Linked DNA regions of Nothobranchius furzeri. The protein of the gene in region 2 purifies or fractionates together with the protein of the main gene of each other region. This does not show direct contact. Links are inferred from orthologs where the notes say so. Each region holds a gene or a part of one and is shown on either strand. Other genes may lie near its edges. The genes, in order: edc3 and usp4.

The links.
Region 1: the proteins of usp4 (region 2) and edc3 purify together in Homo sapiens (co-immunoprecipitation; 3 studies listed by BioGRID and IntAct, with this or other methods). This does not show direct contact. The link is inferred for Nothobranchius furzeri from reciprocal best matches to the Homo sapiens genes USP4 and EDC3.

The regions. Positions count from the first base shown.
Region 1 is NC_091744.1:58,994,187-58,998,627, forward strand, and holds the start of edc3 (enhancer of mRNA-decapping protein 3), read right to left. Parts: upstream 3,018-4,441; 5' UTR 2,877-3,017; intron 2,685-2,876; 5' UTR 2,682-2,684; coding exon 2,518-2,681; intron 2,446-2,517; coding exon of another isoform or gene 2,429-2,445; coding exon 2,202-2,428; intron 2,109-2,201; coding exon 1,770-2,108; intron 1,686-1,769; coding exon 1,532-1,685; intron 122-1,531; coding exon 1-121. UniProt on the Homo sapiens protein: Binds single-stranded RNA. Involved in the process of mRNA degradation and in the positive regulation of mRNA decapping. May play a role in spermiogenesis and oogenesis.
Region 2 is NC_091743.1:47,676,759-47,681,052, forward strand, and holds the start of usp4 (ubiquitin carboxyl-terminal hydrolase 4), read right to left. Parts: upstream 2,976-4,294; 5' UTR 2,936-2,975; coding exon 2,784-2,935; intron 1,687-2,783; coding exon 1,559-1,686; intron 1,468-1,558; coding exon 1,337-1,467; intron 1,260-1,336; coding exon 1,133-1,259; intron 1,053-1,132; coding exon 907-1,052; intron 1-906.

The DNA.
Region 1 (4,441 bases), on a different chromosome or scaffold from region 2:
GATAACCTCTACTTCATGATTGGCCAGGTGACGACCACAGCTGATACCCTGAGCGCCTTGAACATGAGGTCCACACATCAGCGCCACAGTGGGATGCTGATGTAAATTTTTTGGTGTGAATCTAGAGTTGAAATGAAACACAGATTAGGTTAAGAAAATTTGGAGAAATTAACAGGATCAATTGTCTAACGAAAATTCTTTAAATAACCTGCATTAACATCGAAAAGAGGAAACATTGGAAACTACACCTCAGAACATACCTGAGGAAACAAAAACAAAAGGGTACACAAGCGACTAGTGCTGCAGCTACATGCATCACGCAGGTTGTTCCCAATCTTTTACTCAAAAGTTTGATGCTTTTTTATGTTTGATCTTCTTTATGTCTGATTCTTCAGGCACTCGAGGAGTACAGACGCTTCCCTCTTTTGCTCCCTTATCTTTTTTTCCCCAAGGCTCTTTGTCCTGTCTGCCCACAGAGCGCTTCTCTGCATTTCTTCTGAAAAACTGTTAACTAACCATGGATTTGATAAATTGGTCATTCAATGCGATCGATAAGATTTTTTCAACATTGAGAACGGAGTAGGGGGGCTCCCACATGTCCACAGGGGACACACCCAGTGGGATATATGTTGGATTCCCGGAAGGAGTGGAAGATCATATGCCTCTCCCAGCTGTCGATTGAGGATATCGAAGACGTGTGGATATTCGGCCTGATGATCACTGGATTTCTCCTGATTGGAGTGGGAGGATATCTGGTTTTCTGGAAATTTGGGAAGACGGGAGCGGTTGGAGGGTGACCTGCACCCACGGAAAGCACCGTACGTGTGGAGACTTCTCAGACTGGGACGTTACTCGAGGTGAATCATAAGCTGGACAATGTTCTAGCTGCGATACCGGTATTAGTGTGCAAAATGGACGTCATCTCGGAGAGTTACCAGACGGTATGGACAAGCTTAAAAACCCAAAATTGGCTTCACTGAAGGACTGGAATGATCAGTTTAAAAGACTGAAGGCAAAGAGGAAAATTATATCAGCCTGACCCAAACAAATTCTTGTTATCCGAATCTGACGCCCTGGTAGCCTTGAACTGCAAGCAACTAAAAACCCCCATGAAGGAATGCAGACAGATGCTGTGAAAACCCGACCTACCAACCTGTATGTCTGATCTCTGAATTGTGCATACTGAAACTCTAATTTACCTCTGGGATTAATAAAGTATTGATTGATTGATTGATCCAAAACCGTTTGGTCTGTTTCATCCATCATTTATACCAGAGTCGGCCTTAGTCATGCATAAAAAAATCTTTGCTTTTCTCCATTATTAAAAAGTGAAGCCACTTTTCGGGCTGCCTCAGCATGTCAGTCCCAATTAAACATGTCGACACAGAGGAAACCACAGTCATGACAACCAATGAAGTATCTGTAATTAGCTCATTTAAGTTACTCGAATAATTTAAGTGCTGAAATTGACTCAAAACTTTCCTTATTTCTAAGGTGATTTAGAAGTTAGTCTTCATCTTTACACATTTACCTGTTGGGCCCTCCTAACAGTGTAAGTGCCATCTGACTGGCACACACTCCAGTCATCTCAAGTCTTCGCTCCAGTGAGAGGCCGTGACGCTCAGCAGCAGACAACAGCCGCTTGTGGAGTTCATAGGAAATACTTGGTACAACAAGTCCAGAATCTGTAGAAAGTAATAGAGAAAGGTGTCAACCAGTTTAAACCCAAACACTATCATATAATACCATTTACAATGTTAAGCACATACCAGTACAGTACTCTTTGGCCCCAGGCTGAGGTACAATAATCTGTCTGTAAACGACTGGTTTGCCCTCCAATATGTTCTCATCATGGCGGTACCGTGAGGGTGTCTGGTCTTGAGGAGTGCCCCGTGACCGTGCCCCGTTACGCCGCTCTGATGTGTCAATCTCTGAGAAAACTGCTGCTTTGTCAAAAAGGGCAAGATTCCCTTCGAAGTCAAAATCCGTGTCCAGGTCATCCTCCATGCCGTCCCCAAAACACTCATCGTCTCTGTGCTTCATCTGACCGTTCTTCACTCCATTCTTTTTAGGTGTTGCTTGGTTTGGTCCTCGACTACTAGATGACCCTGGTGAGATTAGAAAAACTTCAACCATTAGTATCATGCCACAGAAATTGATTTTTTGTTTAGTTATTTGATCGCCGAACAAATGGCCCTTACATGAGTTATGTCTTCGACGAAACCCTTTGGGTTGGCCCAGAGCATCTAGATGACGCTCTCCGTAACTTTTAGAGCATTGCTGGGGAGAGTTTAATTTCTCAACAGCTCTGGGGTCACCCTTTGGGACTGCCACCGGAACACTGTGCACGTTTGTAGCTGTAGTAGAGGTTCTCCTTGCATTACCACTTCTGATGTCTAAAATCTTTAGCTCCCTTATATCAATGGCACTGGAAAAACAATCAAACTATTGTATCAATAGTTACTAGAAACTGCAAATCACACAAAGTTACTAACAGTGGAAAAGACCCGTGTTTACCTGAATGTGACCTCGGGAACTGGACATTTGACTCCGTTGTGAAAAGGCTGCCTTAGAGAGATGGTTTGGCTTGACTGGTCCACTGATGATACTTCTCCTTGATACACCCCAAGCGTTGGGCCACAATTAATGGACACTAAACTACCTAACCAGTCCGCAGCCATTATCTGCAAAAAGTTAAAAGTTGTCACACTTGTTACAGCAGCACGTTAACTTGTGACCTAAGAGAACCACAAATATTAATTGTTCATTTTTAGGCCTACGAAATGTGTCGACTGCTTATTATTCCGGCCTGTTATTAAGCTACGCAGAGCCAATTTACGTGCTGAAACGTAAAATACCTTCAACTATCACCGTACCTTTAGGGAATTAAGATAAAGTAGACCCCTCTTGATAATAAAAATGAAACAGCGGGTAGTAAAAGCTAAGAAAATTGCTCTCGGAGAAGTTAGCGTTTTAGCTTTAGAACAGCTACTGCTATTCGCCTTCCTGTTTCCGGTAGACTGAGCTTTTCAAAATAAGACGGAACTTTTATATCTGGCTGGTAAAAACGTTTAGTCAAAAGTCTTTAACTGAAAGTGAGTGAGTGAGTGAGTGAGTGAGTTTTTGTTTGTTGTGGATTCTTTGTTATTTTTTTACATGTTTTACTGAAGTACAAGTATTTTATAAGGTTTACAACCATTCCATTCCACACGTTTAATGGAAATAGTTATCAGTTAGCAAATAATCAATACTTGCAGCATTTCCTCTTTTTTTTCTTTTCTTTTTTTTTTTTTTACTTTTTATTTATTTGTCTTTCTTATTTAATCAACATATACAACAAAAATCTGTGTTGGTAGAAAAACAAACTAAAGAAAAGAAGGAGAACCATATAGGGCAAAATTGAAAAAATGACAATAAAATGTATGGGTGAATATAAAACAGTTGCTTGGGGCTTTGCCAATTCTATCCTATAACCAGTTATATTTTTACCTTTAGCATCCTATGTCCCTTGAAGATAGGAGGTCCATTTTTCCCCATTAAAAAAAAGAGTTCTCCCCTCAGTCTCAACTAAAAAGTGATCCGTTCCATCGTATATTGTTCACTGTCTCCTCTCACTGTTCCAGGGTTGGTGGTTCTGGTTATTGTTTTTTTACCAGCAATTAACAAAATTTTACAGAGATAGTCCTTTCTCTTGACCACATTCTCAGTTAAGTTACAAAACATTAAAATCATCTCATTTTGGGGTATTTTATATCCAAATAATTTTGTCATTTCAATAGATTTTTGATCCTAAAATGGTTTTATTCTGTTGCATGTCCAAAACATGTGGGTGTGGTTGGCACTTATGTGTCCACACTCCCTTCAGCAGGGTTCCAGTGAGTTTAATATTTTATGATTTAGTTGTGGTGTTAGAAGGTTTGTTTGTTTGTTTGTTTGTGGATTCATTGTTATTGTTTGACATGTTTTACTGAAGTACAAGTATTTTATAAGGTTTACAACCATTCCATAAACACATTTAATGGAAACAGTTATTAGTTAGCAAATAATCAGTACTTGCAGCATTTCCTCTTTTTTTGAAGCTGTCTGCAGTTCACTGATGCTGTCAGTCAGCTTCTGTGCCAAATCCTGAGTGACAGCAGCTTCTTGCATAAACAATGCTTGAGATTTTTCAGAATTTGTAGGTTCTTCATCTAGAGCAGGGATTTCCAAAGTGTGGTGCACGCACCCCTGGGGGTGCGCGAGCTGCCGCTAGGGGGTGCGCGAGGTGAAAAGTGTAATGGCTGCGGAGCTCAGAGAAGTCTGTCATATGTCACCATTATTGTAGAAACTCATTTGTGGGTGGGCCTAAGAAAAAGTAAGTGGGCCCAATAAATGTAATTGAAAACAAGTATATTTTTGCGCGCGCGCGTCCTCCACATATGCCCTAGCTTCATAATAACAA
Region 2 (4,294 bases):
ACAGGTGCAAGGGGTCAATAGTTCTACAGCAAGAACTGATCTGAATTACAATGACTTATGGCACCTCTGGTCCTCGAAGGCTGCTAAAACAAAACATGCTGGATAGTGGCCCTCGAGGACCGGAGTTACCTACCCTTGACTTATGGTAACCAAGGGCAACAACCTGATGAGATCCTTTCTTTTTACCAAGTTCAGCTGGCCTGGCAAGCCAGACTAAATAAATGTATTATTTAGTCTGGCCACGCTCCATTGACGGCTCTCGGTTGTGGGGCGGGTTCTACCGTTGTCTTTCAAATGATCTCCGCATTCCACTGGACAATGAATGTGACATACTCTTGTTTCACTCTGTTGCATCATCCCACCCACCAGGCACATAGAGTGCCCTGATTGGCCCACAAAGCGGATAAAGCTCTGTGATTTGTTCACTAAGCAGATAGAGCACTATGATTGGCCCACCATTATGGACCAATCACAGCTCTTTATGTGCTTGAACCCCCTCTAGAGAGCTGTGATTGGCTAGCCAGAGTCCTGGTAGGAGCTGCTGAGGTTCCAGTGGAGCATTCCTAGACCAATCTTTGCAAAGCAAGAATTTGGTCTAGTTCACTAGGCTAAAGTTCAGCATCTATTTAAGTTAAAAGTGAAACAATTCTTGTTTACCTCTACCAAACGTATAAAAAAAGTCACAGGAAACGTTTAACAACCCAACCAAAGCTACTCCTCAACAAGATAAACAATAATGCACGTCTCACTGCAGGGCTAATGAGCTGCTTTGCATTAGGCTCCATCATTTTTCTGATTTTATGTCTGTGAATGAATAATTTATGCAGACAGTACTAATATGCTACAAAGGTTGTGCTGTTTCAGTGGATCAGTGTTCTTTAAGGTCATTGGAATAACTAAAACTACCTGTCCCTGGAAGAGTCCGGCATCCTGTACAGTGCTGTCTGGCTTATTCAGCTGCTCATACGTGTTGCTCATGTATTTGTTCCAGAGTCGAGTCTCCTTTTCTGAAGGGATATTAAACAACTTCCGCATCTCCTTCTCTATTGTATCTGGAAACAAACACGTATAATGAACCAGGGCTGTCAGCATCTGCTTTAAGTTCACTTTGAGATCACACAGTAATTCTTACCTATGGTGTCAGCTTTACTAAAATGGCGCGTGATGACGTTGTCCATGTTGTCATTCTCACACAGGTTGAGCTCCAGCAGATAGACTTCCACCTTACAGTGCTTCACAAACATGCCATGTTCAACCACCTAGAGGCCAGAGACAGTCAACGCCTTGCAAAGCTTGGTGAAACAGAAAGAGGAAGACAACTCTTCAATGGGACTACCTTCCTGACGATTGGTTTCTGGCCCTCGAGACAGCTGTACCAGCTGACAAGCTTGTTCCATGCCTCCGTGGGTACAAGGACATAGTCTAGTTCATCTATAAGGTGCTCTTTCAGGGCCTGAGTGTCCTGGTCTAGGAGACAAAAATAAATAATACACCAACTTTTAACGGGGGCTGCTGGAAAGATTAAAAATAAAACAAGACAGGACTCTTGATAAAATACCTGAGAATAGTCCAGAGTTATCAATTGGTCCCGGATAGAGGCTACGTTCTCCAACATTGTACATATCCCAGCTGTCAAACCCCACATACTTTTTCCATTGTTTGAACCACCGGCTGTCTATTAGATACCTAGGACAAATGAATGAATTGTTATTACGTAAATAACAATGAACACAACGATCCTCAAGAATTACCCTAAATAATAACCACCAATGTCTATAGTTATCAGATAATGAATATAGAACAGGATAAAGGATAAGAACCACTGCCTCCTGCAGACACAAAACATTATGTAACACCACAATTCCCTGGCAGTTATAGTAACAGCAAGCCAGTTTTACTTAATCTCGTCTAAAGAATCACCTTTAGTTAATTGGCTTCAAGAGATATCTAGTAACAAACATTCATTCATTCAGTAATGTCCCAGGTATGTCCGTGTCTTGTGTTCCCTTTGACACGTTAGGTTTTATTAAACTGTGTCTGATTAAAGCCAGGATAAGTGTAGCATCGTGAAAGGTCATCTACTAATAACTGAGTGACTGAACAAACGTGGAGCTAAAGAGTTAACCGTTTGTATTTTCTATGTTAATGCCCTTATATTAACTAAGAGAACACACATGTTACCTAGTTTAGATCTCACAGCTTATTATCTAAACTGAAGTTGTTGATTTTTTTTATTTTACTTTAATTATAGGCACGTATAGATTTTTCCACGATAATACTTAATTTGTGAAATATGGGCTCTTTTCAATGCCCTAGCTACGTTATAACCAGGCCTGGATGCTCTTAAAGATTTAAAACGGTGTGAAAAGAGTGACAGTAAAGAAATGCCATATCATATCAGCGAACCTGATTGAGCAACAAGCCGGCTGGACTCGAATCATCTGACTACGGGGCCTTCTAGCTAGCACATCGGTTGGCTCCGATAACGTATTACAAAACGAGATAACTTTGTGTTACTCAACAACATGTTATTTACGTGATTAGTCTGCTGCTCCCAGCCAAAATAGCTGATTCCTTAACGATACACTCCATGTAACAGAAATTGTGAAGAGCTTTGGTTAGCAGCTAGCGTGCTAATCCATGTTACATTAGCTTGCTATTTAGCAATACAGCTTTCTGTTTCATTGCTTTATACGCCTATTAGCTGTAGCATGTTAGCACTTCCGGTTTCTCGCAAGCTAACGCAGGAGCCTCAGATAGGGTTGAACTTAGCTGATTCTTACCATTCGTCCCCTCTTTTTAAAGTTGTTTTCAATAGTGACCCAATAGTTTGTTTCTGATTTTCCGTTGATGGGGTAGGTATTTGTGCGGCTACCGGCTCCGAGTCGGAGTCTGCCGCGCTACCCGAATCGGGTCCGCCTCCCTCAGCCATCATGCAGCCAGTGTGCCGGTATCGTGAACGCGCTAAAACTAAGCACATGGACGAGCTGTGTTCTTTTCATCCCCTATTCCCCTCTAGCAGAGGCGGTTCTAGAGCTTTACTTTTAGGGGTCCACAACTACAAACGTGACTTGCAAAAAGAACCAGAAGTGTCTTCTCTGTCACAAATAAGACTGAAAGCTGGGGTACATACACATTTTTTAATGGTTTTGGTTTCACAATCCTCTCCAGGGTGTGGCTTGTACACTTTTTTTAATCACATTGTCCTTCCATTCACCTCTCTTTAAATGTGCTTAGCTTATACACAGCTCTTTAGCAACCATCAGTCAGTATGTACAGTCTATGTACAGTATGTACTAGGATTGTCACGATACTAAAATTTCAAACTCGATTCGATACTTGGACAAAAACCGATACTCGATTTCGATACTATTTAAAAACACCCATTTATCGAACAAGTTTATTCAAAAAATAACATTCCTCACATTATATTACAAAAATTAAATGTTAAGAATTAAGTGTATTAAGTGCTTAAACCTTTAAAGTATCAGCATTTTTTAAAACGTGCATACAAAAACTGGTGAAAGTTAACATTTTAAATCATGAATTGTCTCACTATATATACACTATTTGCAGAGTGATGTTTTGCTGCTTAAACTCTGTTTAAGGTGCATTTTTGTCATAAGCTGTAATGCCATATGTTTTGTTCTGTACTTTTGAACAACTCTGTTGGTCAATAAAGGGAGAAAACAAATTTCTCCACAGTAGGACAAAGGTACATCTACCGGTAATCTTAATAAAAACAGACTGGCGCACGGCAGTGACGTCATTAAAAGCGCCGGTTAGATTAGCCGCAGCTAGTCTGTTTACGCCTAGAAATCCCAGACCAGACCCGCTCCAAACGAACAGGGGAATCACGTTAATGATTCCTAACAAAACCTTTCGACATGAAGATGTTTTGGTGCAGATAATGTCCTATTTCGAGGCTGCACCATGGGTGCCCGTCCGCACCCGTTATATGGATATACGCTGACGGCGATTTGGTGATGGACCTACGGTAAATACCCCGGGGAATCCAAGTAGCACCAAAGTTGTCAGCGTGAGTAAACAAACGTACTGCATGCTAGAAATTAAGGCCGGGTTGCAATAAACGGGAGTTTCCTTTAAGCACATAAGCGTGAATATACAACTACATGTCGGACTAATTAAGTTGGGCTGTGAAGCGCCTCCCAAATTCGCTGTTTATGTTTTTGTTTATTTATTTGGCAGACAAAACTTGGATTGGAGACAACTCGCGTGGGAAATTGCAATGTAGCCATGCGGCGTCTTCTTCTGTTTGTCTGGGAGGCGGAGG